Stegostoma tigrinum: one gene and its partners. The protein of the gene in region 1 purifies or fractionates together with the protein of each later gene. This does not show direct contact. Links are inferred from orthologs where the notes say so. Each region holds a gene or a part of one and is shown on either strand. Other genes may lie near its edges.

Evidence for each region.
Region 2: the proteins of NEDD4-like E3 ubiquitin-protein ligase WWP1 (region 1) and sparta purify together in Homo sapiens (affinity purification with mass spectrometry; 5 studies listed by BioGRID and IntAct, counting the BioPlex papers as one, with this or other methods). This does not show direct contact. The link is inferred for Stegostoma tigrinum from reciprocal best matches to the Homo sapiens genes WWP1 and SPART.
Region 3: the proteins of NEDD4-like E3 ubiquitin-protein ligase WWP1 (region 1) and tyrosine-protein phosphatase non-receptor type 14-like purify together in Homo sapiens (affinity purification with mass spectrometry; 3 studies listed by BioGRID). This does not show direct contact. The link is inferred for Stegostoma tigrinum from reciprocal best matches to the Homo sapiens genes WWP1 and PTPN14.
Region 4: the proteins of NEDD4-like E3 ubiquitin-protein ligase WWP1 (region 1) and rnf11b purify together in Homo sapiens (affinity purification with mass spectrometry; 3 studies listed by BioGRID, with this or other methods). This does not show direct contact. The link is inferred for Stegostoma tigrinum from reciprocal best matches to the Homo sapiens genes WWP1 and RNF11.

The regions. Positions count from the first base shown.
Region 1 is NC_081358.1:85,846,382-85,853,772, forward strand, and holds the start of NEDD4-like E3 ubiquitin-protein ligase WWP1, read left to right. Parts: upstream 1-4,370; 5' UTR 4,371-4,502; intron 4,503-7,391. UniProt on the Homo sapiens protein: E3 ubiquitin-protein ligase which accepts ubiquitin from an E2 ubiquitin-conjugating enzyme in the form of a thioester and then directly transfers the ubiquitin to targeted substrates.
Region 2 is NC_081359.1:84,998,689-85,006,463, forward strand, and holds the start of sparta (spartin a), read right to left. Parts: upstream 3,020-7,775; 5' UTR 2,929-3,019; intron 1-2,928. UniProt on the Homo sapiens protein: Lipophagy receptor that plays an important role in lipid droplet (LD) turnover in motor neurons.
Region 3 is NC_081362.1:57,060,641-57,067,825, forward strand, and holds the start of tyrosine-protein phosphatase non-receptor type 14-like, read right to left. Parts: upstream 3,007-7,185; 5' UTR 2,706-3,006; exon of another isoform or gene 2,454-2,705; intron 1-2,453. UniProt on the Homo sapiens protein: Protein tyrosine phosphatase which may play a role in the regulation of lymphangiogenesis, cell-cell adhesion, cell-matrix adhesion, cell migration, cell growth and also regulates TGF-beta gene expression, thereby modulating epithelial-mesenchymal transition.
Region 4 is NC_081361.1:63,166,585-63,174,057, forward strand, and holds the start of rnf11b (RING finger protein 11b), read left to right. Parts: upstream 1-4,466; 5' UTR 4,467-4,970; coding exon 4,971-5,090; intron 5,091-7,473. UniProt on the Homo sapiens protein: Essential component of a ubiquitin-editing protein complex, comprising also TNFAIP3, ITCH and TAX1BP1, that ensures the transient nature of inflammatory signaling pathways. Promotes the association of TNFAIP3 to RIPK1 after TNF stimulation.

The DNA of each region.
Region 1 (7,391 bases):
CATTCTCAGGACTAGGCAGGGCCAGCAAGGGCACAGCTGGAAGGAAGGGATGTCTGTGTTAAACTGCATTTATTTCAATGCAAGAGGCCTGACAGGTAAGGCGAATGAATTTTGGCATGGATGGATACATGGGAACATGGGAACTGGGATATTATAGTTGTTATAGAGACATGGCTGAGGGAAGGACAGAACTGGCAGCTCAATATTCCAGGGCACAGATGGTATTGGAAGTATAGAAGGGGAGGCAAGAAAGGAGGGGGAGTAGTGTTTTTGGTTGGGGAGAACATCACAGCAGTGCTGAGAGAAGATATTCTTGAGGGTTCATCCACTGAGTCGATATGGGTAGAACTCAGAAACAAAAAGGTGACGGGATCACTTTGATAGCATTGTACAATAGGTCTCCAAAATAGTCAGCCAGAGATTGAGGAGCAAATATGTAAGGATATCACAGATAGCTGCAAGACTAATAGGGTTGTAATAGTAGAGGATTTTTACTTCCTTCACATCGAATGGGATTGCCATAGTGTTAAGGGCTTGGATGGGCATAAATTGGTTAAGTGTGTTCAGGAAGAATTTCTCAATCAGTATGTATATGACCCGACTAGAATTGGGGAAAAACTTGAGCTTCTCTTGGGAAATATGGCAGGGAAAGTGATGGAAGTGTTAATGCAGTAGCACTTTGGAACCAGTGACCATGATTCCATTAGTTTTAACTTAGCTATGGAAAAGGATAAGTCTGTTCAACAAGCTAAAGTTCTCAATTGGGCTTAGCCAATTTTGATGGTCTTAGACAGGAACTTTCAAAGTTGATTACAGGAGGCTGTTTGCATGTAAAGTGACATCTGGTAAGTGGAAGGCTTTCAAAATTGAGATGGGGATTCAGGACCAGCATGTTCCTGTTAGAGTGAAGGGTAAGGTTGGCAGGAGCAGGGAACCCTGGATGAGTTATTGAGGCCCTGGTCAAAATAAAGAAGGAGGCATATGACATGTATAGGCAGCAGGGACGAAGTGAATTCCCTGAGAAGTATAAAGGATTTCGGAGTACACTTAAGAGAGAAATCAGGAGGGCTAAAAGTGGACACAAGATGGCTTTGGCAGATAAGTTAAAGGAGAATCCAAAGCAATTCTACAAGTATACAAAGGGCAAAAGAGTATCTGGGGACAGAATAGGGTCTCTTAAAGATCAACAACATTGTTTATGAGCAGAGCCAAAAAAGATGGGTGATATCCTAAATGCATATTTGTCATTGATATTTACCATCAAGAATGGAATGGACACGAGGGAACTTGGGGGAAATAAATAGTGATGCCTTGAAAAGAATTCACATTACAGAAGAGGAGGTGCTGGAAGCTTTAAGAAGCATTAAGGTAGATGAATCCCCAGAACCCAATGAACAGTATCATTGTCAGAGGCTAGGGAGGAAATTGCAGGGGGTGGAGATATTTGTATAATCAACAGCCACCTGTGATGCAACTGAAGATTGGAGGGTGGCTAATGTTGTGTCATTATTTAAGAAACACTGAAGGGAAACGCCTGGGAACTATAGACTGGTGAGCCTAACATCTGTGATGGGTGAGTTGTTCGAGGGCATTTGGAGAGGCAACAACTCATTTGGGATAGTCAGCATGTCTCACGAATTTGAGTTTTTTGAAGAGGGGACCAAGAGAGTAGATGAAGACTAAGTGGTCGATGATGTCTACATGGTCTTTAGCAAGGCCTTTGACACAATACCAAACAAAAGGCTGTTGAGTATGGTTATATCTCATGAGATCCAGAGAGAAGTAGCCAACTGTATACAAAAGTAGCTTGACAGTAGAAGACAAATGATGGTGATAAGAGATTGTTTTTCACACTGGAGTCCTGTGACCAGCAGTGTGCCACAGGGTTTGGTGCTGGGTCCACTGTTATTTGTCATTTATATAAATGATTTGAATGAGAATTTAGGGGGTATGGATGAAACTTAGTGGTATAGTGACAGTGAAGAAGGTTATCTTCGAATGCAGCGAGATCTTGATCAACTGAGCCAGTGGGCTGAGGAATAGCAGATGGAGTTTAACTTAGATAAAGGCACGATGTTGCGTTTTGGGGGGTCAAACCAGAGCAGGACAGAGATCTAAAGGTACAGGTTCATAGCTCCTTGAAATTAGAGTCACAGGTAGACAGAGTGGTGAAGAAGACTTTCAACATGCTTGTTTTCATCAGTCAGAGCACTGGGTATAGAAGTTGGGATGTCTTGTTGCAGCTATACAAGATGTTTGGAGCACTGCATGCATTCTGGCCTCCATTATAGAAAGAATATAAGTAAACTAGGAAGAGCTCAGAAAGATTTACTAGGATTCTATCAGGACTGGAAGGTTTGAGTTCTAAGGAGAGGTTGGATAGGCTGGGACTTTGTTCCTTGGAGCAAAGAAGGCTGAAGGCAATCTTATGAATGTCTACAAAATCATACGAGTTATTGATAAGGTAGATAGCCAACAGCTTTTCCCCTTGGAAGGGGAGTCTAAAACCAGAGGCCATAGGTTTAGCTTGAGAGGGAAAACATAAACCAGGATCTAGAGGGGCAAATTTTTCACACAGAGGGTAGAGAGTGTCTGGAACAGCCTGCAAGACATAGTGGTAGAAGTGACTACAACTTCATCATCATTTAGGAAACATTTAGACACATACATGGATGGGATAGATATGGAAGGATATCGACCAAATGTATGCAAATGAGACTAGTTTAATTGAGACCACTTCAGGGGTTTCAATGAGATCACCTTGGTGGCTTAGTGGTTAGCACTACAGCCTCAAAGCACCAGGGACCCAGGTTCAATCCCAGCCTCCGGCGACTGTCTGTGTGGAGTCGCACATTCTCCCCGTGTCTGCCTGGGTTTCCTCCAGGTGCTCCGGTTTACTCCCACAGTCCAAAGATGTGCAGTCTAGTGGATTGGCCATGCTAAATTGCCCATAGTGTTCAGGGGTGTGTGGGTTATAGGGGAATGGGTCTGGGTGGGATGCTTCAAGGGGCGGTGTGGACTTGTTGGACCGAAGGGCCTGTTTCCACGCTGTAGGTAATCTAATCTAATCTAAAACTGGACGCATGGGTAAGTGGGGCCTAAGGGTCTGTTTCCATGCTGTAGACCTCTATTACTCTATCTAATACATTACTTAAAACCAATTTTTTGATCAAGTTTTTGGCCATTTGTTCTTATACTTCCTCCAGCTACAGTCAAAAATATTTTTACTGATAAAGCACATTGTTAAGCACGTGTTTTATATGTTATTATGGTTGTAGTATGTGATCAACCATACCTGTCTCAATGACTTTTACAGCAGAAGGTGACCAGTTTCTGAACGTAACAAAAACTGAAAGAACTGCAGATGCTGTACATGAGGAGCAAAAACAGAAGTTGCTGGAAAAGCTGAGCAGGTCAGAACCTTGAGTTCTGAGGAAGGATCACTGGACCCGAAACGTTAACATTGATATTTCCTCCACAGACGCTGCCAGACTTGCTGAGCTTTTCCAGCAACTTGTTTCAATTTCTGAATTTGCTGGCAGTAAAAGATAAATTTATATAATGTGCTGCCTAGAAGTACGTAGAATTCTCGGTGTGCAGGTTGCGAGGATTTCTATGCGCAGATTTTGACAAGATGGCTAGCTATCGTTTATCCTATATCTTCAGCATATAATACTATTTGTCCCAGACATCAGATTCCTTAAGTAATTGCGCTGTTCGGAACTTTGTTGTGGCAAGAGACTCCGAAGAAGACTTCAGACACATTTCACGGATGCCCTCAAAGGCATGAACTTTCCCATCACCTCATGGGAGTCCCTCGCTTGTCGATGAACTCAAATGCAAAAGGAAGGCATTGGGAGCATGCTGAAGCAAAACTGAAGCGTTGGTGACAGCACAGAAATCTCCAAATACCTAATGTTCTTGACCCTTCAAGCACAACTTATTCTGCATGTGGCAAAGTCTGCAGGTCAGCGAGGTATCATTCTGGACTGGAGGCGCAACCCCAGTTTCTCTCCACAGAAGCTGCCAGACCTGAGTTTCTCAGGTAATTTCTGTTTTCGTTTCAGGTTTGCAGTGTCCTCCGTATTTTGCTTTTATTGCTTGAACACACAATACCGCCTGAGAATGTTTGTGGGATGGAGGCTGAAGAATCTGAACATCGTTTACTCGGTGCATTTAGAGAGATACAATTGCTCTAGCCGTTCAGCATAAACACCCTACAGCTTTCCAACTCCCCCGACACCGCGGGTGCACCGCCGGACAGCAAGCAAGAGGAGCACGGCTCTGACGTGCGCGCCGTCCGGACGGTCTGGGCGTCGCACGTGCGCGCTCTCGCACTCGCGGGGTGTCGCGCGCACTCGAGCGGTGACGGTGCCGCGCCGGAGATGGGGATTGGCGAGTGGGGCTGCGCGGCGGAGCGGAGATACGGAGAGTGAGGGGGAGCCAGAGCCGGATCGGCAGGGCCAGGGAGGAGGAGGAGGGTGAGGACGGCCTTTAAACGGGTGAGTGGTGTAGGCCCCGGACTGCGGGCTGCAAACCGTGGCCCTTGTCTGTATGTCCGTCCGGTTTGGATGCTGTTCCCGTTTGGCCCACTCCGAGCAGGGAGACTCTTCGGACGCTCTGGGTTCTGACCGGAATTGTGAGTGATGGGGATGGAGGAGGCTGCGGCTGGGCCCTGCCTCTCCTCCCCTCCCCTCCCCTCCCCTTCCCTTCCCTCAGGGCAGCCACGGCGGAGGAGGCCGAGGCCCCGACCCTGAGCCCATGGAGATAAACCGAATGCCGGCAAAGGGCCTGGGGGTCGGGACTGGGGGAAGGAGAGACAACATGGAGCTGCTGATCCGGCTTTCCAGCCGAGTTTCAGCTGGCACCTCTTACTCAATCCAGACTGTGGAGAATAGAAATGTTACATTAATAAAACTCCTTGTCAAAGGAGTGGACATTTGCAGCACGCTCTCTTCTCCCCCCCCCCCCCAGGTTTGTTTTCTTTAAAATTGCTGATACATGGATGAGAGTTGACCTGGGCCAACTGGGAGACATGGGTTTAGTTTGTGTTCGGGACTGAAGTGGACTCTTGTCTGGTCTCTGTCTTCGAGCCGGGAGGATGAGATGGCTTGGTTGTGGTGTGTGGGGGCGGGCGGTTGTTGTTTGTGAGAAGGGACCACTGCAATTCCAACTGCATGCTGCCCTCCTGGCAATCACAAAGTGTCCGTGACCATGACGAAGCAGCCAGCAGCACGTCTTAATATTTGTACACAAGCGCTTTTGGCCAAAATCTTTCTCGATCTTCTTGCTGGTAGTGGGCATTACAATCCAGGGCACCCGATGTGATTGAAGAGGGAGCAGCGTTTGCAGGTTTTGCCGTTTAACGAAATGCATTTTCTCAGGGTGTTTTAAAAATGTTTTCTGGATTCCTGTCAGCTGTAGCTGACTCCCCGCCCGCCCCTTGCTTGCAAGTTCCAAGATCCGAGAATTCCTGGATTCCTCTGCCTCTGCTGACAGAAGTAGAATATTGCAGCATCTTAGTACCAGGCCTCTAAAAAAGGCCCAGTAATATCTGCAAGTATACAGCCCGATGAGCTGTTTACAGCTTTGTAATTACTGTGTATAGATATATGGGAGATTTAAAAATCTGAAAAGGAAAATTACAGTTGTCGTGACCCACTAACGTTGCTCAAATGACAGCTGGTATAATTCAGGAAAGCCCTGCAAATCCGTTGAATTTAGATTGTCTTTGTAAAATAAAATTTCTTCTCTGTAAAATCAAAAAGAACATAGAACAATACAGCGCAGAACAGGCCCTTCGGCCCTCGATGTTGCGCCGACCTGTGAACTAATCTAAGCCCCTCCCCCTACACTATCCCATCATCACCCATATGCTTAGCCAAGGAGTTAAGACCGTAACATGAAATTTAATCATAATTACTTTAGGAAGATGTGTGCAGAGTGCAAAGCCTCAATTTCTCGTGTTTAATAGTGTATTAGTTTGCTGTTTGTGTTGTTTATGGCTTATGGTTGTATGAAAGTTATTGGTTGTCAGTATTCAAATTAATGTCCAAAATATTATTTGAAATTAGTTAAAACTGTATCTTAAATTACAGGTCTTGAATTCTGTTCATGCTAAGTATTTATGTTGAGAGCTTTTTTGAACAAAATCTTGACTTGTCTCAAGCCTGATACCTATAATATATTTATGTTGAATGTCTGGTTTTCTTACACAGCCCATGATGCTTCGTTTGCTGTGGCCACCTGGACAGTTATCTCCAAGTTGCAGATATTTTGCTAAATCACCTCCTCTTGATAGCTAATTCATTTGTAGTACTGTATAGGACTGCATGAACCCATGGTTTGACCAGTGACTAAGAGTACAGCCTTTTCAGTTACTGCAGTTTGGAGTTTTTGCATTTATGAACTTACATATTTGATTGTCCTATAAATCAGAAGAGGGTCAAAGTACATACAAGAACACCTTTAAAAGAAGTTCTTGTGATTTGACATTAGTTTAGCTTGGTTTTCAAACTGTTATTCAAGAAGTGAGCTAGGGATGAAGCAGGAAACTACAGACCAGTCAGTCAAACCTCTGATAACAAGGTGCAGAGCTGGATGAACACAGCAGGCCAAGCAGCATCAAAGGAGCAGGAAGGCTGACGTTTCGGGTCAAGACCCTTCTTCAGAAATGGGGGAGGGGAAGGGGATTCTGAAATGAAAAGGGAGACGGGGGAGGTGAATAGCAGATGGATAAAGGAGAAAGTAGGGTGAGAGGAGACAGACAGGTCAAAGAGGCGGGGATGGAGCCAGTAAAGTTGAATGTAGGTGGGGAGTTAGGGAAGCGATAGAGATTCCTGCTCCTTTGTTTGGCCTGGTGTCCATCCAGCTCTACACCTTGTTATCTCAGATTCTCCAGCATCTGCAGTTCCTAGCATCTCAATCTAACCCCAATAGTCGGGAAGCTAATAGGAACAATTCTGAAGTACAAAATTAATCTGCCTTTTGGATAGGCAAGAATTCATCAAGAATAATAACATAGTGTCGTTAAGCGGAGTACATGTCTGACCAATTTGAATCCTTCAAAGAGATAACTGGGTGTGTAGATGAGGGCAATACATTGGACGTAATTGATTGGAAGCAAGGCAGTTGATAAGATCTTGTACGGGAGACTGATAGCAAAGGTAAAAGCCTATGGGATCCAGAATTGGCTGAATGACAGGAAGAAGAGGCTGATGGTTGAGATGTGTTTTTGACTGGAAGCCTGTGCCAGGTGGGATTCTGCAGAGATCAGTATTGTGGCGCTTGCTGTTTGTGGTATATATAAATGGTTTAGCCTTGAACGTAAGAAGTTTAATCAGTAAGTTCACTGATGGCCCAGACATTAGTGAGGTGGATAGCCTTAGATT
Region 2 (7,775 bases), on another chromosome or scaffold:
AAGTAATCGAAGGATTACAATCTTTGAGATCCTGCTTTTTAATCTGCCACCTAGCTCCCGAAATAAGCACCGCAGGATTTCTATACCTTTAAGACCTTCCTTAAAACTTATCTCTAACCAAGCTTTCCATCTTTTTCTGATATCTCTCAACATTTTGACCCTTTCTCTTTGGCGTACCTTTCTATAGTAAGGAGGTTATTAACTTTCCTGTTTGTTTTGTATAGTATGAATGGAAAACATACATGCGCTGATTACTAAGTTTGTGGATGACTCCAAAATTGGTAGGGTTGCAGATAGTGACGAGGATTGTCAAAGGATACAGCAGATTTGGGCAAAGAAATAGCAGATGGAGTTTAATCTAGACAAATGAAAAGTAATCCATTCTGGGAGAACAAATTCTGATGTGAATTATATAATAAATGGCAGAATCCTTATGTGCATTGATGTGGAAGAATCTGGGTGCACAGGTCCACAAATCCCTGAACATGTGGATAAGGTCATCAAGAAGACATACAGAACGTTTGGATAACAAGGTGTGGAGCTGGATAAACACAGCAGGCCATGCAGCATCAGAGGAGCAGGAAGGCTGACATTTCAGGCCTAGACCCTTCATTAGCTGGGGCACTGAATATAAAAGTTGGCAAGTTATGTTGAAGATGTATAAAATTTTAAGTTAGGCCACATTTGAATACTGTGGGCAGTTCTGGCCACCAGACAACCAGAAGCAAGTGGATGCTCAAGAAGGTTTACCAGATCAGGCAAGCTTTAGTTACGTGAAGCTGGATAAACTCATTGCTTTTTTTCTGGAAAGACAGAGCTGAGGGGTGACTTGATAGAGGTCTGCAAAATTATGAGACATGGATAGGGTGAATTGTCAGAGGATTTCCCCCAAGGATGGAAAGGTCAATTACAAAACAGCGCAGGTTCAAGGAGAGAGAGGGTGGTCTGAGGGAGAAGTGCAAGGAAGATTCTTCACACAAATTGTTGGGTGCCTGGAACACACTGCTAGTGGACGTTGTGGAAGCAGGCATGTTAGCAACAATTAAGACATATCTTATGGAGGCACAGAAGTGGAGGCAAACAAAGGAACAGAAACTGTGTATGGGAAACCTTAATGGACCTTAGACCATAAGACCATAAGACACAGGAGTGGAAGTAAGGCTATTCGGCCCATCGAGTCCACTCTGCCATTTAATCATGGCTGATGGGTATTTCAACTCCATTTACCTGCACTCTCCCCGTAGCCCTTAATTCCTTGTGTGATCAAGAAATTATCAATCTCTGCCTTTAAGACATGTAACGTCCCTGCCTCCACTGCGCTCCGTGGCAATGAATTCCACAGGTCCACCACTCTCAGGCTGATGAAATGTCTCCTCATTTCCGTTCTAAATTTACCCCTCTAATTCTAAGGCTGTGCCCACGGGTCCTAGTCTCCCTACCTAACGGAAACAACCTCCCAGCATCCACCCTTTCTAAGCCATGCATTATCTTCGGTGTTTCTATTAGATCTCCCCTCAACCTTGTCAACTCCAATGAATAAAATCCCAGGATCCTCAGCCGTTCATTGTACGTTAGGCCTATCATTCCAGGGATCATTCGTCTGAATTTCTGCTGGACAGGCTCCAGTGCCAGTATGTCCTTCCTGAGGTGTGGGGCCCAAAATTGGACACAGTATTCTGTTTGTGTGCTGTACTGCATTGAATAATGCAAGTATTATTTAAGTATTATAAACTGCACATCAGTTCAGTGTATTACCAAATTCTTGAAGGCCTTGAGTTAAACTTACAACTAAAAAGCAAAACCAGTGCACAACCATGGAGAGTACAATGTAAATACATTCAGCAGAAAGATTCTCGTATAGAAAAATAAATTTGTAAGAAGTATCAACTAGAATTGCTATTCATTGCCATAGAAAAGCTGCCAAAGACCCTCCCACCCCAATAATACTCTCTTCCAACCTCTTCAATCAGGCAGAAGATACAGAAGCCTGAAAACACATACCAAATGGTTCAAGAACAGCTTCTTCTCTACTGTTAGACTACTGAAAAAACTCTCTAACATCAAATAGTGTTGATCTTGCTTCATGCATCTGCTGTATAGCTGAAACCTCGTGTGCCTTGCTGTAAGCACCCTATGATCTGTATGTCCTTGTTTGCAATGAACTGCCTGTACTGCTCACAAGACAAAACTTTTCACTGTGGTTAGGTACACATGACTAAAATAAATCAAATGTCTGAGAATTAGAGGCTGAAGAGCTGATCGAATCACGCGGCTTAAAGCTAAGAGGTGAATTAATAGTGGAGTGGGGTAGCATAGAAAATTGGATCCACTGTTTAGGGAATCAAGATCCTGCGCAGTGTAATTTTAAAAACTGGTACTCGTTCGTTTAGGGACTGTAAGCAGGAAACGTTTATATCCTCTTAAAAAACCTTAAGAAACTATAAATGCTGGAAAACAAAAACACGATCAGAACTTTATTTTTGCATGTGTTCTCTAAAACGGTCACCGAACTCCAAACATTAACTGTTTTCTCTCCACAGACCTTCAGAGATTCTCCAGCAATTTCTGTTTCGGTTTCCAAAGTTCGTATCCTCACCACACTCGCGCGTGGTAATAGAAAATTGTAACTCTTCCCAACCACCCTCCCCCCAAAGTTAAGTCAACAGAAAGTTTAGGATCGATGCCTTCGAAGGTTACCCACAGGACGTGAAACAAACTTGACTAAATGGGACTGATCTGCAAACACAATATACCCGATCAGCAAATTCCAACCCACACCTACTGACCAGGCAGCCAGTAACCGGCCCCTCCTCCCCTAGATAGGCCTCTTGCTCCCAGTAATTGATGGATTTCGGTTCGTGGGGGGAAAAGAATATTTCCCGAACTACAACTGAACTTGTTCAGAAAGAAAAATAAACCCACACCCACCTATCTGTCCGTCTGCTCAGAGTACAGATGGACGACACCTCCTTCAGTGAGTGACCGTGTGACTCGCAGTCACATGAGCAGAGGACAAAGGTCACGCCACGGTCACGTGCCTTCCCGTCTCCAGTAGCAACGAGGAGACGGTGGGATGCTTGTCGCGAAGGAGCGTGTTTGGAAACTGTGCCGAATTTTTTCGAGTCGTCCATTTGTTTTACTTTTATGCGTGCGGATGTTTCGTGTAAATTAAATCAAATGGACCGTTTGTGATTCCAATGACATCTGCCGCATGCCGATAAACTAGTAAACAAAGTGTGGAGCTGGATGAACACAGCAGGCCAAGCAGCATCTCAGGAGCGTAAAAGCTGATGTTTCGGGCCTAGACCATTCCTCTGATGAAGGGTCTAGGCCCGAAACGTCAGCTTTTGTGCTCCTGAGTTGCTGCTTGTCCTGCTGTGTTCGTCCACCTTCACACTTTGTTATCTTGGATTCTCCAGCATCTGCAGTTCCCATTATCGTCGATATACTACTTGTTCTAGATACGTACATTAATAGGAAATGCTTGGAGAGACATGGGCCAGGTGCAGGCAGCTGGGACTAGTTTAGTTTGGGATTATGGTCGGCATGGACTGTTTGGATCGAATGGCTTGTTTCTCTGCCGTATGACTCTGTGACTCTAGTCTTGGCCATCAGTCTGCAAATCATCTGCCACAAGGATTATTGTGGAGCGGTTGTAGTATCCCTACCTCTAGGTCTAGTAGACCTGAGTTCAAGTCCCACCTGCCTCAGAGGTGAGTAATAGCATGTTTCAACGTGCTGATTAGAAAATATAAGCAACTGATTCGGATTCTTGGTGATGAGGTTTCCATATCCCCGTTCCCTTATGTTTAAAACAAATGTAAACCAGCTGCTAATCCTCAACTACTGAATTGTTATGGTGCAAAAAGAGGCCTTTTAGCCCATTGTGTTTGTACCAACTATTCAAGTGAGCATTTTTACCTCGTATCCTTCAACATTATTTTTATTCAAATAATTTTCCAATGCCCTTTTGAATGCCTCAAGTGAACTGCCTCTGTTGCATTCCATGTCATGCTTCCAGACAACATGCTGTGTGAAAAAGTCCTTTCCTTGCATCAAATTTGCTTGTTTTCAAATGAGTTTAAATCTGTGTCCTCTGGTTCTTGACTGAGCAGTAACTGACCCTCCCTAACCAAGTTATCAAGTCTTGATGATTTTTGAAAATTCTATCAAGTCTCCTTTTAGCCACAAAAACAAAGTTGCCGGTAAAGCTCAGCAGGTCTAGCAGCATCTGTGAAGGAAAAAACAGAGTTAATGTTTTGGGTCCGGTGACCGTTCCTCAGACGGCTTCCTCTTAGCCATCTTTTCTCCATGGCAAACATTCCAACTTTTCAATCTATCCTCGTAATTGAAATTTCTCACACCTGGAACCATTCTTCTCAATTGCTTCTGCACTCTTTTCAATATATTCACATCGCTTCTGTAATGTAGCACACTGAACTGTACACAATACATGAGCAACGGAAAAGTGACCCTTCTGAAAAGTCACATGCAAAAGAAGGGACTGGGCACAAAAATGTAATGATATTTCCTGACTTAAGGATGGAGGAGAACAACCTTGACATAAGTTACTGTGTTTCTCATTTTCACGACAACTCACCCAGTCTCGTGGGGTTTGGGAAATCAGCAAATTTGCAAAGCAACACTTTGTAGCTTTTCACCAGCTTATCGACCCCAGCAACTTTCACTGCATTCATATAGAACATAGAACATAGAACAGTACAGCACAGAACAGGCCCTTCAGCCCACAATGTTGTGCCGACCATTGATCCTCATGTATGCACCCTCAAATTTCTGTGACCATATACATGTCCAGCAGTCTCTTAAATGACCCCAATGACCTTGCTTCCACAACTGCTGCTGGCAACGCATTCCATGCTCTCACAACTCTCTGCGTAAAGAACCTGCCTCTGACATCCCCTCTATACTTTCCACCAACCAGCTTAAAACTATGACCCCTCGTGCTAGCCATTTCTGCCCTGGGAAATAGTCTCTGGCTATCAACTCTATCTATGCCTCTCATTATCTTGTATACCTCAATTAGGTCCCCTCTCCTCCTCCTTTTCTCCAATGAAAAGAGACCGAGCTCAGTCAACCTCTCTTCATAAGATAAGCCCTCCAGTCCAGGCAGCATCCTGGTAAACCTCCTCTGAACCCTCTCCAAAGCATCCACATCTTTCCTATAATAGGGCGCCCAGAACTGGACGCAGTATTCCAAGTGCGGTCTAACCAAAGTTTTATAGAGCTGCAACAAGATCTCACGACTCTTAAACTCAATCCCCCTGTTAATGAAAGCCAAAACACCATATGCTTTCTTAACAACCCTGTCCACTTGGGTGGCCATTTTAAGGGATCTATGTATCTGCACACCAAGATCCCTCTGTTCCTCCACGCTGCCAAGAATCCTATCCTTAATCCTGTACTCAGCTTTCAAATTCGACCTTCCAAAATGCATCACCTCGCATTTATCCAGGTTGAACTCCATCTGCCACCTCTCAGCCCATCTCTGCATCCTGTCAATGTCCCGCTGCAGCCTACAACAGCCCTCTACACTGTCAACGACACCTCCGACCTTTGTGTCGTCTGCAAACTTGCTGACCCATCCTTCAATTCCCTCGTCCAAGTCATTAATAAAAATTACAAACAGTAGAGGCCCAAGGACAGAGCCCTGTGGAACTCCACTCACCACTGACTTCCAGGCAGAATATTTTCCTTCTACTACCACTCGCTGTCTTCTGTTGGCCAGCCAATTCTGTATCCAAGCAGCTAAGTTCCCCTGTATCCCATTCCTCCTGACCTTCTGAATGAGCCTACCATGGGGACCCTTATCAAATGCCTTACTGAAGTCCATATACACCACATCCACAGCTCGACCCTCATCAACCTTTCTAGTCACATCCTCAAAAAACTCGATAAGGTTTGTAAGGCATGACCTACCCCTCACAAAGCCGTGTTGACTGTTTATGTTTAAGGAATATGCTGTGGTTGTTTTATGGTACGTTTAGCTTCTAATACACCCTTTACCTGTTTTTGCTATTCCATTATTTTTCCTTCTGTGTATTCTATTATTGAACATTTTTCATTAGCTCCTCAAGGCTCTCCTTTGCAGTTGTGTTTTAGGGAAAAAAAGGGTCCCAACCCGTAACATCAACTTTCCTACTCCTCTGATGCTGCCTGGCATGCTTGTGTTCCTCCGGCTCCACACTGTGTTATCTTTGACTCCAGCATCGGCTATCTCCTCTGGAATCTATTTGATGCTTTCACTTTTAATGTGTTAAAAAGATATGGGAGGTGCCTTCTATGCCGTTAACAAACTGTAACAAGCAATCAAGCTCTAAAATCTACCATTTCCAGTTGATGTCTTTCAAGATGGTGGGTTTTTGCTCAGATCTAGACTTAATGCATTCATCCTACATACTTGGGGAGTAAAAGAATACTCTTCCCCACACACTTCACTCAATTTCAAGAATGTGACAGTTGTAACTATCTTCAAGAAGGAAGGTCAGTCATGCTGTCAGAACAATGATGCTTCCCTCTTGCCCATAGCAATGAAAATCCTGACATATTCTCCTAAGTCACCTATTTCCTGTAGCTAAGGATATCTTCTCATAGATACATTGTGACTTTATACTTTCCAGAGGAACCTCTGACGTGGTCTTTGCTGCCAGACAAATCCAAGAAGAATGGTGAGAATCACATTCAATGTCCTGACCGAAACATTTGACTCAGTAAATCACAAGGCTTTGTGGTTCTGCTTCAAAGGTTTGGATGTCCAAGAAAATTTATCATAGTATGAATATACAAACATACGAACAAAGAACAGGAATAGGCCACTTGACCCTTCGAACCTGGTCTGCCATTCAATAAGATCATGGCTAATCTGATTATACCCTCAACTCCAATTCCTGCATATCCCCAATTATCCTTTATCCCCTTGTTAATCAAGAATCTATCTACTTCGGCCAAAAAAATTTAAAGATTCTGCATCCACTGCCTTTTGAGAAAGGGAATTTTAAAGTTTCGCAACCTTCTGAGAGAAAATGTTTCCTTGTAAATGGGTGACCCCTTATTTTTAAACTATGACCGCTAGTTCTAGATTCTTCCAGAAGAGGAAGCATTCTTTTAACATTGGTCACGTCCACTCAGGACTTACATGTTTCAATTAAGTCACATCTGAATCTTTAAACTCCAGAGGATAAGGTGCTAGCCTGATTGGCATTTCCACACAAGATAATCCACTCATTTTAGGTATTAGTCTGGTAAACCTTCCGTGAACTTTTTTAAACACGTTAACATTCTCTGTAAGTACAGTGACCTATATTGTGTACAGTACTCCAGAAGCAGTCTTACCTTGTGTAACTGAAGCATGACCTCTCTGCTCTTGTGTACAATTTCTCTCAAAACTAAGCATAACATTCTATTAACTTTCCTGATTACTTGCCGCACCTGCAAACTAGCCTTCTGCAAATCATGCACTAGGGCATAAGCTCTCTGTATCTCAGAGCTCTGCAACCTCTCATCATTTAGATACTGCATTTCTTTTTTATTCTTTCTGCCAAAGTGGACAATTTCACACCTTCATACACTGCATTCCATTTGCCAGATCTTTTCCCACCCACTTAATCTATCTATCCACTTAACCTAAGCTCCTTATGTCCTCTTAAATCACTTTTCTACCGCTCTCTGTGTAACATCCGCAAATTTAGCTACTATACCTTTGGCCCCTTCACCCAAATCAGTTACATAAATTGTAATAATCTTCCATCTACTTCATG
Region 3 (7,185 bases), on another chromosome or scaffold:
GCACCTGTAGAGAGAGAAACAGAGTTAACAATTTGAGCACAATATAACTCTTCAGGGCAGAAGAGTTCGGAAGAAAAGCCGTGGGGCTTAAATTGTTGACTCCTTCTCACTCCACAGATGCTGCTAAACTTGCTAACTTTCTCCAACACATTTTTTAAATTAGTTCAGATCTCCAGCATCCACAGTATATTGCTTTTATTTTCATTTTTATCATGCCTTTCACGACCTTAGAACATCCCAAAACTCTGCAATGTCAATTACATGCTTTTCAAATTTTAATCATTTTTGTAATATCGAAAATCTAGCAGACGCTTCGAAAATAAGGTCTTCTTTGAACTGTACCATGGGATTTTTTGCAACTGCCCAACAGGTAGACACAGCATCACCGTGAAACCCATCAAAAGGAGATTGCAGCTGAGTGCAACTTTTATTTTAAAATATCCATTCACAGGATACAGTCTGGCAAGGCCAGCATTTATTACCTCATCAATAGTCCATAAGCAGGTGGTAGTGAGCTGCCTTGTTAATCCACTGCAGTCCATATGGTGTAGATATGCCCACAGTATTGTTAAGGGGGGAGCATTGGGATTATGACTCAGCAATGAGAAAGTAACAGAGGGACACAGCATGACTAGGGACTCACATCTGTGTGGTCTCTAATGCCGACTGGCAGTTGTATTAGTGATGGGCTACAAACTGACTTTGTACACAATTTCAGTTGCAGGCATGAGATTAGGTGAAAATACGTTAAATAAAAATCTGAAAATTGAGGAAATATTTATATATTCAAATTGGTTAAAAAGGATTACATTGAACATTCATTTTTTCAAAATAAAATTAAAAGAATGACATGCAATGATATTGTGCTTTCCATGTGCAGTAGACATCTCAGCGATTTACAGCAATGAAGTACATTTGCAGTGTAGTCACCATTGTAATGCAGCCAACTTACAGTAATATATTTCTGTCAAATGTTTTGGATCCCTTAGACTTTAAACGAAAGCCAAGAAGAGCTGAAGATATTGGGTTCTGGTTTTGAACAGTGAACATTAATCAAAGCTAAGGTCATCCAACAGCGTGGTAAACATAACCTGATATCATAACAGGTTTATTTAAGAGGTAGTGTTATCTCCACACTTCTGTAACAAACATAATTCCAATATATAAACAATAATCAGATTGTCCATTATTCCTGATTTTATTGCTTCAGTCCAAAATTCCTATTGCTTTTCATAGCAGAGTTACCATAGTGCAAGTCTAGGATTCATTAAACTGCTGGATCTTCTTGAAAAATGTGACAACATTAATGCAAGGTTGATTTCGTCTGGTGTTTATGCCACAGATTTCCCCCAAATTTGAACTCCAGCATACCTATAGGTCATATGCTTCAAAACTGCGAGTTTATAGTTGATTAGTCCATAATGTGGATCAGTGACAAATGGGAATTCAGATCAGATTGTTTACACTGCTGTAACTAAATGTTGTCAAATTTAGTCTGCTCGAAGAGGCACATTGAAAATATGTAAAATTTAATAAATATGAAAATATAGTTGGAGGCTTCATTCAAAACTTTATACAAATATTCCAATTTTTTACACAAGTGTTAATATTAAATGGTAAAACTGCAAATTCTATTGCAAGATGCGTTCACTAAGTGAACTGTCTTCTCAAAGTCAACACCATCTTTTGTTTCCAATACGGTACTTCAATCAGAAAACAGAATCGCAACAATGCAGAAGCCAACTTGGAACAAAAAGCCATATTTTGACAAATTTGAGCAACGATCCAACGTCAAAATTCAAGTAATGCACTTAAAAATCATATTCTTATTTAAAATTTTGCTTTCATATTTTGAGAATTCATCTGAACAATGCAATTCCTTATGATTAAGTAAAAGAAATTAACCCTTGTCTCCCACACAAAGAGTCATCGCCTTCATCTATCAGTTTACACTACAGTCTGGAAACTTTTGCAAAGCGTTTATTCCAGTAAAGCATCTTTTAAGTGTGGAATTTCGGCAGAGATGGCATTTTCACAATTATTTCATTAGTCAGCCTAGCCACCGAAACGCGAGACGGTCTCTTTAAATATACTGCAACAAAGTACAGGCTGAAGTTAGCCTCCTTGGAGGGCGGGCCATAGATTTCTGTTATAGGAATTGTATTGTGAAGAGTTGAATCTAAACAAATACTCGCTGTCATACCTTGGCTTGGACCTTCCCCTCACCATCAAGGCGGTTGGAAAAAAAGGGGGCTGTCGAGGAATGCTGGCATTTGAGCCGGAGAGTAAGGCAGACAACCTCCCTTTAATCGGCATGTCTGACTTACTCCTACAAACCACTCAAGGACAAGTAGAAATCTTGGATCAAAAGGCTATGCTTCTCTGGTATATCTATCTTTCTATAGTCAATCAAATAGGCAAGCTCTTGGACTTAGGATCTCCAGTTCCCTTACCTGTTTACATGTCTTTATTGTGTCTGATCAGTCCATTAAAACCACAAACTGCACGCGTCCCTTCAAACTTTCCAACGTGTTTTCTTCCTTTCTTGTTTGGGGAGTTGGGGGGGGGGGGAGGAGAAAAGTTTCCACAAGCAGAAACTAGCACAAAAATCCCTTTCTGGATAAAGGATCCACTCGTCTAAAGGACCGCGGGACCAGGGTCCGTCTGCTCACCAGAAGTGTTTGAAGTTACACGGAGAGCCCTACCTCATCCGCTCAAGAACTACTTTTGTTTGGTGAAACTTTCTTTCTGCCCACTTTCTTGTTTGCTATTCTGAACTCTTCAGCAGCTGCCAGCGGTCCGAGAGCCTTTGTGATCGCCAAGTTGTTTTGTTTTAACCTCCCTCCTTTCTTTTTTCCTAGTCGTCCCCTTGCAGCCGAGACTATTTTCGATTAAATAACATGGTCACAGTTTGTGGGTTTGGAAAAAAAGATCTGCGCCTCGTGACATCAGAAATGTGGAATGTGAGGAATGTGAGCTGATGAAGGGCTGAGATGTCGTTGCTTCTTAATGGTCACACACCGAAAACACACCCAGGCAACGTCGATTTAAAGCTGTACTGCAACACTTTAGCTATGTAATCGATTTGGTTACTTTGCCCATGCAATATTTTAGCGTAATCGGTTGGGGGATTGCTCTCTTAACAGTGTGCTGCACGATTCCTCTTGGCCGGATTAAAATCAACATTGCGCTCTTTATACATTAAAAGTACACTGCATTGAACACCTACCAGGTAATGAATTCTTGCAGCAATGCATTTTCTTTCATTGGGAATTCACACAGTTCGTTAACCGAGCTGTGGGATTGTTATGCTATGTGGATATACCACTGAACGATGACACTTACTTGTTCAGACCAGCTCACGAGCGACACCATGTGGGTGATGCTGGACTTTAAAGGCGTTGACTTTAAGCTTGCATTTATATAGCTCCAGACTTCCGATGGCTGAAGGACTGCATGACCAAGTAGATCCACCTACATATTTCTTCTCTTTTTGACTCAACTCGCCTTAGCCCTAAAAACAAAGCCATCAATATTATTTGAGATAATGGGAACTGCAGATGCTGGAGAATTCCAAGATGATAAAATGTGAGGCTGGATGAATACAGCAGGCCAAACAGCATCTCAGGAGCACAAAAGCTGACGTTTCGGGCCTAGACCCTTCATCAGATGATAGGCCCGAAACGTCAGCTTTTGTGCTCCTGAGATGCTGCTTGGCCTGCTGTGTTCATTCAGCCTCACATTTTACCATCAATATTATTTAATCTTTCTTACTTCCATGCTTTAAATCTCAGTCAGTACTCATTCTATTTGAATGCCTATTTTACAATCCTGAGTTCCAATTTAGCTAAGCTCATCCAGAAGGCTTCCCATGAAAAATATTCCAATTGAAACATTGAAAACATTTTAAATTTGAATAACTCCTCCAGTGTAATCGCAGTGCACTAAATTGAAAGTGTTATCGCATAAAATTTGGCACTAAGGAATGCATTGATACATTTAGACAACTGACGAAAATCTTTATCCTAGTGGGAGATTGGAGGGGATTTTAAAGAAAGGGAAAAACAAAGATTTTTTGGGAGGTTAGGGCTCAGCTACCTGAAGGTATGACTGATGAAAATTGAGAGTGTGCAAGTAGTGAGAATTGGAGATGTACAGGTATACAGATCTCAGAGAGTCATATGTTTGAAGAATTTTTGGAAATAAAGGGAGCAAAACCATGAATGGATTTGAAAATAGTGGTGAGAAAACTAAAATTGGGCTCTTTCCATGTCAGAAACCAATGTTGTTCACTAACCACAAGTGTGACAGGAGAATGCGATATGCTGTCTGTTGGGATAGTATCCTCTCCCCATCCCCTTTTTCTGATGAAAGGTCTAGGCCCGAAACGTCAGCTTTTGTGCTCCTGAGATGCTGCTTGGCCTGCTGTGTTCATTCAGCCTCACATTTTACCATCAATATTATTTAATCTTTCTTACTTCCATGCTTTAAATCTCAGTCAGTACTCATTCTATTTGAATGCCTATTTTACAATCCTGAGTTCCAATTTAGCTAAGCTCATCCAGAAGGCTTCCCATGAAAAATATTCCAATTGAAACATTGAAAACATTTTAAATTTGAATAACTCCTCCAGTGTAATCGCAGTGCACTAAATTGAAAGTGTTATCGCATAAAATTTGGCACTAAGGAATGCATTGATACATTTAGACAACTGACGAAAATCTTTATCCTAGTGGGAGATTGGAGGGGATTTTAAAGAAAGGGAAAAACAAAGATTTTTTGGGAGGTTAGGGCTCAGCTACCTGAAGGTATGACTGATGAAAATTGAGAGTGTGCAAGTAGTGAGAATTGGAGATGTACAGGTATACAGATCTCAGAGAGTCATATGTTTGAAGAATTTTTGGAAATAAAGGGAGCAAAACCATGAATGGATTTGAAAATAGTGGTGAGAAAACTAAAATTGGGCTCTTTCCATGTCAGAAACCAATGTTGTTCACTAACCACAAGTGTGACAGGAGAATGCGATATGCTGTCTGTTGGGATAGTATCCTCTCCCCATCCCCTTTTTCTGATGAAAGGTCTAGGCCCGAAACGTCAGCTTATGTGCACCTAAGATGCTGCTTGGCCTGCTGTGTTCATCCAGCCCCACACTTTGTTACCCTGAGTCTTCAGCCAACTGTTTTGTAGGGACAATGTGCAGGACTCCATATTTCTGACTCTGGTTTACTTTGTCACTTTCTGTCCACATCTCAATCAACAATAGTAGAGCCATTACCTCAGCACTTTGGAATTCACTTCTCAATGTCTTTGCTTTTGTACTTTACACACTACCTTTGAAGGCCCTGATAAGTTTGATTGTTGATGCTTTAAATTGTCTTCTTTAATTTCTCCTCTATTTCTCTATGTTGTGGTAAACAGTTTAGGATATTATATGAGCCACTGCCAACACCAATAAAAGGGGCAGATAAGTGCTGGAAATACTTTTGATAAAGAAGGGGGTGGGTATTCATTGCTGTATAGGATTTATGAAAAAAAACCTCCATAAACATGAATTTACATTTCATGAAATTATTTTCTGAAGGAGGAAATCACAGGGCCCTGACCCAATTTTTTACTCCCTCTTTGGCCATAGAAGTGCCTGAGGACTGGAAGACAGCTCATTCACCTGTCAAGAATAGTACAGCAATAGAACAGTGAAGTGCTCATGAGCAAGCGTCACATCAACGATAGGGAAACTTTTGAGAAAATTCTGAAGAAAAAAGATTAATCTCCAGTTAGAGAGCAAGGTTTGCTCAGGGGTAGTCAGCATGGTTTTGTCAGAAGAGGTCATGCTGAACAAATGTAACTGAACTTTTTGATGAGCTGCCCAAGTATGTAAATGAGTGTAGTGCTGTTGATATAATTAACATAAATTCCAGTTAAGACTTTCAACGAGGTTCCACATGGGAGACTGATAAAGAGGGTAACTTAGCAAGTTGGTTCCAAAATTGGATTAAGTGTCAGGAGAGAGAGTGTGTTGGGAGAAGACTGTTTATGTGACTGGAGGCCAGTGTCCACTGATGTACCAAGGGATTGGGGCTGGGTCCCCTCTTGATTTTTGATTTTATATATATATATAAATGATGTAAATGAAAATGTCAGAGAAGATGATAAGTAAGTTTGCAGATGACGTAAAAATTGACCAGGTGGTTGACAATGAGGTAGAAGGTCTTGAGCTTTGGGAGGATATAGACAGTTTAGTCAAATCTGTGGCAGATAGAATTTAACCCTGATATGTGTGTGGTGTTGCACATTAAAATAAGTGACAAGACACAAAGCACTGAAGGAAACTCATAAGAAACAGAGGGATCTTGGGATGCTTGAACACAGATCCTTGAAGTTGGCAGAGCAGGTTAATAGGGTAATTAAGAAGGCAATAGGGACACTTGCCTTTATTGGGGCAGCACGGTGGCTCAGTAGTTAGCACTGCTGCCTCACAGTGCCAGGGACCAAGGTTCGATTCCAGCCTCAGGTGACTGCCTGTGTGGAGTTTGCACATTCTCCCCGTGTCTGCATGGGTTTCCTTCGGGTGCTCCAGTTTTCTCCGACAGTCCAAAATGTCCTAGTGCAGGCTAGATGGATGGGCCATGATGAGTTGTCCATAGTGTTCAGGGATGTGTTAGGTGGGTTATAAGGGGATGGGTCTGGGTTGGATGCTCTAAGGTTCAGTGTGGACTTGTTGGGCAGAAGGGCCTGTTTCCATACTGAAGAGATAAATATGATCTGTGATAAGTCAAGACATAGATGTAGAATTGTTGAAGTTCATCCATGTGTTCTCTAAATGTCTGCCATTGTCTATCCACCATCAACCTGTTAAGTACCCTTGCCTAGTTTATCCTAGCCAATACATGCCTCATACCATCAAAGTTAGCTTTCTTTAACTTGAGGACCCTAGACTCAGATTTAACTGTGTCACTCTCCATATTAATGAAGAATTCTACCATATTATAGCTAATCTTCCCAAAAGGATGTTGTACGACAATGTTGCTAATTAATCCTCTTTCATTACACAATACCCAGTCTAAGATGGCTCTCTATCTCATTGGTTCCTTGACATGTTGGTCATACATTCTAGGAAATCCTCCTCCATCACATTACTATCAGTTTGGTTAGCCTAATCTATATGTAGATTGAAGTCACCCATAA
Region 4 (7,473 bases), on another chromosome or scaffold:
GGGGATGGGGTGAGGGTTCTGGAATAAATAGGGAGAGAGGGGGAGGCGGACCGAAGATGGAGAGAAAAGAAGATAGGTGGAGAGGAGTGTGTAGGTGGGGAGGTAGGGATGGGATAGGTCAGTCCAGGGAAGATGGACAGGTCAAGGAGGTGGGATGAGGTTAGTAGGTAGGAGATAGGGAGCTGCGGCTTGGGGTGGGAGGAAGGGATGGGTGAGAGGAAGAACAGGTTAGGGAGGCAGAGACAGGGTGGACTGGTTTTGGGATGCAGTGGGGGGAGGGGAAGAGCTGGGCTGGTTCGCGACTGGGAGGTGCAGTTTATTGCGAACCGAGCAGAGGTGTTCTGCAAAGCGGTCCCCAAGCCTCCGCTTGGTTTCCCCAATGTAGAGGAAGCCACGCCGGGTACAATGGATACAGTATACCACATTGGCAGATGTGCAGGTGAACCTCTGCTTAACATGGAAAGTCATCTTGGGGCCTGGGATAGGGGTGAGGGAGGAGGTGTGGGGGCAAGTGTAGCATTTCCTGCGGTTGCAGGGGAAGGTGCCGGGTGTGGTGGGGTTGGAGGGCAGTGTGGATAAGCTTTACCTGTCTTTACAGGCGAGCCGGGGCACCGGGGCATACTGCCTGCGCTCCCCATGTCATAGTATACAGTCAAACTTCCAGGGATCGAACCTGAGACACCAGAATTGCAGGAGTTTCGCTCCGAACCCGAGGAAACCGCGGCTCGCGAGCAAAATTAGCGTTCAAACGGGAATATATTTCTGTTTGAAATTTTCACAGCTTTCTTGACAATTTAAATAAGCTCCAAACACAAAAAAAGTTACACGACTCCTTACCGCCTAATCAAACATCGTAATTGTTGCTCAATTTTATACTTCATAGTTGGTGGATTTTTAAAACTTGTAATAAAGCAGCGTTGCCCAACGTTGCCCTACGTGTTCCCCAGTTTCCACGCATGACGGTTTGGTGAGATGTATCTGGCAAATGGATGCTGTTCATTTTTGGAACCATGCAGCACTGAGGTATGTTGCAAATGTGACAGGGGTGTGAGGATGGGTATCACTGGCTGGACTGTTACACACCTGGACTGTATTTTCTCAAACGTCTGTAATTGAACAACGAAGAACCCAGCATGTTGTGGAGAGTTTTCGTGGCGGAACGGAAACTTAACCTTTTAAGCAACTGCAAATCCTATTTTCACCAGGTATGTGTCGTAACACGCTCGATGTAAAAATATGTTCAGTAGCTTTCTAAGGAAGGGTCACTGGACCCGAAACGTTAACTCTCTCCACAGATGCTGGCAGACCTGCTGAGCTTTTCCATCAATTTCGATTGTTCACTAACTTGCTGTTGGACAGGAGTCACATATCCGTCAGAGCTGGATTATTTTGGCACAATATAGTCTGGTTGTTCCTTATCCAGTGGCCTGGAAGTTGAAGGGCCACCTGTTCCATGAAACAAAGATACTCAGCGATTGTTTCCTTCTGAGGGTGCCTCTAAATATTAGATGTATTTAAATATCCTGTGTCGCTCTGTCAAGTGCTGTGACAGCAGACTAGCCTTTGAAAGAAGATTGCTGTCAAGCTATTTTGGAGGAAATGTAGTGACACAGGATGTCACCTGAAGGGATAGCAGGAACTGCAGATGCTGGAGAATCTGAGATAACAAGGTGTAGAGCTGGATGAACACAGCAGGCCAGGCAGCATCAGGGGAGCAGGAAAGCTGACGTTTCGGGCCTAGACACTTCTTCAGAAAAAGAATAATAATTAATTCTAAATATTAACATACTTTACTTACTATGAAGGAGTAATGTTAATGTGAATGCCATGTCTAAGGCAATTGTTAGGTTACACTGAAGGGGCAGAGTATCATAATGCCCCTTTTCTGAAGAAGGGTCTAGGCCCGAAACATCAGCCTTCCTGCTCCTCTGATGCATCTTGGCCTGCTGTGTGCATCCAGCTCTACATCTTGTTATCCCATGTCACCTGAAGAGCTAGATATTGTTTAGCTGATGGTTGGGGGTTTTGACAGAACAGTGGGAATGCAGAAGTGACGGACAACATGCTAATTTTGGTGAGTTCGGTTCAATCTTCATTTTAATAACGCTGTTGAAATAATTGAACCAAAGAACCCGGGTACCATCGGCGGCAAAGGCGATTACAGAATGGTCTTGTATCCCGGCACTGTTTGGAATTGGACGGTGGCAGCGTAAACAAAACACTAATCGGAACCAAAGCCATTACCGCGATATTTGTCAATTCTTCAGCCTGGGTCTTGAGTCTCTTATCACGCCAGTTCTGAGAAAATGGAGACATTTCACCTCTGAAGAAACGTGTTTCTTCTAAAAGAAACTGGAGGACACTTGTCAGAACCAAAACACTACTTGTAGATTGTCATCACCCTTTGAGAGTGTATTACAGCAGGTTTGCCTTGGGAGTGGCTGGATTGCAAAATCCTTTTGAAGCTGTTATTCTGGCTCTGGGTATATTTGTTTTTGAAGATTTAAACCTCGAATCTGATTTCAAAAGATTGTTAACCTGTTTTATCAATATTACATAGATTTCCTAACAGGGGATGAACGCTCGGAAAGGAACAAAATCCTATTGAAAAAAACAAAAAAATGAAAATCCAAATAGTGTTTGAATTCTTAACTGATTTACCACACTACTCCAAAGTATCCTTACGGTCACTATCCCACATTCCAACATGCTCAAGTTCCCATGGGCACAAAGCCCTACAATATGGAACTTCACAGAGTCACTTTCTTCCAACTCAACACTTCATTGTGATTCTCTGCCCCTTCAGTGCAACCTAACAGTCGCCTTAGATATGGCATTCACACTAACATTACTCCTTAATAGTAAGTAAAATATCTTAATATTTGTGATTAATTTTTTATACTCAGTAGATAAATAACATGAGTACTGGAGTTGAGACGTCATGTTACGGCCAAGCAGGACATTGGTGAGACCACTTTTAGAATACAGCCTACAAGTCAAGACACCCTTCCATAGGAAGGTTGATGCTAAATTTGAGATGGTAGAGCAAAGATTTACAAGGATGTTGTCGGGACAGGAGGATTCCAGTTATAAGGAGAGCTGAATAGCTAGGGCTCCCCCCGCCACCCCCGGACTGTCTGTGGCTGGGGCGTGACCTTACAGAGGTTTATAAAATTTTGAGGGGCGTGGATGAAGCGGATAGCCAAGATCTTTTTCCTAGGGTGGGAGAGTCCAAAACTAGACGGCGTGGGTTTAATGCGAGAGGGGAAAGTTCAAAAAGGACTCAAGGGGTAATTTTTACACGCAGAGAGTGGTGCATGTGTGGATCCAGCTGCCAGGGGAAGTGGTGGAGGCTGGTAAAATAAGGACATTTAAATGGCATCTGGACCGGTGTATGAATAGGAAGTGTTTAGAGGGATATGGGCCAAATGCTGGCAAATGGGACTTGCTCAGATTGGAATGCATGGTCGGTGCAGACGAAATGGACCAAGGTGAGTTTCCGTGCTGTATGACACAATGGCTATAGTGAGTATATCAAGTGAGTATTTCTATTTTGGGATCCAACTCTGGGGATCAGGATTCGCAGTTCAGTCATGTACAACCAGGCACAGAACATTTTTTCATACATTCACGGCTTGTTGAGGTAACAATGACAATGCTAGCATTCACGGCCCATCCTTAATTACCTCATGTGAAATTGGGGCTTAAAACACAGCAGCCCATTGTCGAGATGGTAACAACTGCCAATGAAGTCCACTGTAGAGATAGTAAGAACTGCCGATGCTGCAGTCAGAGATAACACAGTGTGGAGCTGGAGGAACGCAGCAGGTCAGGCAGCATCAAAGGAGCAGGAAAGTTGACGTTTCGGGTCGGGACCCTCCTGGCTTGCTGCCTTCCTCCAGCTCCACATTGAGTTATTCGCAGTCCATTTTGATAACTTTTAGTATCATGGCCAGATCAAATGACCGTTAAGAGTCAGCCACAAAGCTGCGAACCAGAAGATATACGAGCAAGACTGGGCTATGATGGCCGATTTCTTTCCCTTAAGGCAATTAGTAAATCGGTTGAGCAGTTATTGTCAACCACTATTACTGATGATAATATTTAATTCGAGATTTATTTAATTCACTGAACGTAATCTTCTAACTGCTGAGGTGGAATTTGAATTGCCATTTCTCGACCTCTTGACATCCTCGGGGTTCCGGGTAATTTTTTGCCTGGTTTTTGCGACAGCAGGATCTGGCATGTAGCCTTCGCCGGGGCCGGGGAAGGACAATTGTCAAGACAAGGAAGCAAGATGAGCCACATCGACCGCTTAAACGGGCGAAAAGGAGTTTTCGAAAGAACCCACTAGTTCGATGTAATGGGAAACTTGGAGAATGCCTTTCCTGCAGGTTGTCTGCACCGTTCCTTCCGGGGCGAGCAACAGCCTGCGCGCGCCGGCTGCTGACGCCGTACGTCAGCGCACACGCACACAGGCCCTTCTCGAGGCGCAGGGGGAGAAGAGAAAGGGTCAAAGCTGCGAAGGGGAAGGGTGTATCTCTACGGCCCTTCTGGCCTGGAGGGAGGTACGGGTTGGCTGCTGGCTTAACCCGGTCTCTCCCTTCAGTAGGTGAATGGTCAAGAAAGGGTATATTTTGCCGTGTTAAGGAGAAGTTGGGAGTGAGCCAGCAGCTTCTGTTTCTTTTTCCATCCCCCACCCCCCCACACACCCTGAATTACAGGGCGGCTTGTTTTTGTTTTGCTTTCGGTGAGAGAGAATAAGAAGAACGAGCGGCCTTCCTTCCTGAGAGGAAAGAAAAAATTCTGATTTCGGTGGTAGTGAGGGAAGAAGCGACGTTTCCCGAAAAGAAGCGTGCGTTGTTTTTTTTAACGCCCGTTTTCTGTCAGTTTTTAGCTTTCTCCTCCTTGCCTTTCCCACGCCGGATCTTGCAGTGATGGTAAATACGGTGTAATATTCAAGGAAAAATATGGGAAATTGTTTGAAGTCTCCTACGTCAGATGATATTTCTTTGCTCCATGAGTCTTCTGACCGGGCGAGTTACGGAGACGGTACCGAAATAGATCAGGAGCCGCCGCCGCCATATCAGGTTCGTCTTTGTTTGGACAAGTTTTCTTTTTGTCTCCAGTCTGGTGTATCTCAACGAATTGGTGCTGAATTTATCCACCTGCCTAAGATAACCAGGCATTACGATGTTGAAATATAATGTCTTATATTTGACCACTTTCAACACTTTTCGCTTGGGTTGTGTCTAAAGAACTCCTTTATTTACCACTTACCCGATCGAAATAAAAGAAAATACCTCCTCAGTTGTAAACCAACAAAGTAAAACCCTAGCTATCTCGGACTGAAGAATTTTGAGGAGGCAAGGTGAGATAGTTGAACAATTGTTTTCATACGGATAATTGCCATATTTTAAGTTTATTGACTTGTGTTGACAGATTTGTAATTTCAACTATTTTAACAAAACATGTAGAATTTGAAGCCACTGGCTTGTCATTACCGAAAATTGAAAACATACGAGAGCTTACTTACGTACGCAGTTGTCATTTGCAAGTGATATGGGGCCTCATTATTTCAGGTACTAATTAAATGAACTTACTTATTTGTTCCAGGAGCCAACTTGTGCAATTTGTCTCACCGTTGTTATATGTTTTACTTTGTGTTAGTAGAGATAATGCAGTCAAGGGGAAACAAAAAGGCATTGTGAAGTTAGTACTTATTGTACTTGTTGTGGTGGGGAAACTCCTGTTTTCTGTTCACTGTAGACTAATCTGTTTTGTCTTGTACAAATGGATCACTTGTATGTGGCACATTTGGCACAGACATTGAACTTTGGTATGTCACATTTCAGTAGAAAGTTGATTAATAAAAAGCACTTTTTTAATAGCTTCAAGCTTTGGTTCAATATTCGTCAAAAATGCCATCAATATGTGGCACTGGAATTTTTATCTAATTGGCTCCAAATCCCCTGCACTGACAGAACATCTTCTCATTTCTTGTCTGAGCTTCTCATATCTGTTGCTTTATATATTGTCCAGCATTCTTTATGGAATTATGTTGATGTACTGGGATGGCACGGTGGCTCAGTGGTTAGCATTGCTACCTCACAGTGCCAGGGACCTGGGTTTGATTCCAGCCTAGGGCAGCTGTCAGTGTGGAGTTTGCATGTTCTCACTGTGCCTGCGTGGGTTTTCTCTGGGTGCTCTGGTTCCCTCCCGCATCCAAAGATGTGTGGGTTCGGTGGATTGGCCATGCTAAATTGCCGATTGTACCTAGGGTGGGAAATGCAGGAATAGGTTAGGGGGTGGGCCTGAGTGAGATGCTGTCCGGAGTGTTGGTGTGGTCTTGATGGGCCAAATATTCTGATTCCACACTGTGAGGATTCTATGATGTCCTTGGTGGAAACTGTGTAAACTTGTGTTTTGGCATTTTCTCATCACAGATTTTAATGGTTATCTGAACTTGAGTGATTTGAGCCCAATACGTTTACTTACTGAAGAATTAACATTCTTAAGAATATAAGATAATTGTTTTGAACTAGAGGCAACTTGATTATCAATTATTTGCTTTATTATAAATGTTGGTAATGGCTTGTGCTGGAACAAGAAACAAGGGCAAATAGGCAAACTTTACCTTAGAACCTTTTAAGAAACTGTTTCATCTTTTAAACAGAAATCCTATAAATTCTGACCAGATGCATGGTTCTATCACTTGTGCATGATGTTACGATGCCATTGTTGGTACATTTTACCCATGTTGGAAATTCTGTCTAGTACTTTTGTCTGCTGTCACTGACCCTTTGAATAACTTGGTCTTAATTACAAATTATGTTTTGTGTTAACAATTGTAGATAGTTAAATTTTGTTTGAGAATTGGTGTAATGTGCTTTTTAAAACTAACTGTATATTGATGAATTCTGGAGTTGTCATATCTACACGTTCATCAAATGACTAGCTTGTACCTTGACAAATTTCTTCTGGTACAACTCAATTTACGATATTTCCTCATTTTAAAATGAAATTTGCAATAGACTTATTCAGGTTACTTTTGTTACCTTCTGATTATTATCAGAACACCAGTGATTGTAAGTCTAGGTTTCTGATATTTCTTTCCCATCTCCTGTTCCTCTCCCCCCCCCCCCCCCCACCAGCCATGTAAAAATACTTGACAGCAATTTTAATATTTATAGTGGCTGTCAAGATAGTAATTTCCACAGAGAGAAGAGGATTAACAATTTAGAAAATTGAATAAAGATGTAGTCATAGATATCAGCCTTCTTGAGGCTTTAAATGTGGGCAGCGTAAAGAAAATTGAAAAGTACAGAGAGTTTGTTGGGGCGGTGGGGGAGAGACCAAAATTGTTGATAGCTAACTGAGAAGCACATGGGAGAGTGTGTGGATACACAGGGAATGAGAATCTCAAAAATGTACGATGTGGTCCAGAGTGTGCAAGGTTAGAGGAGACTGCAC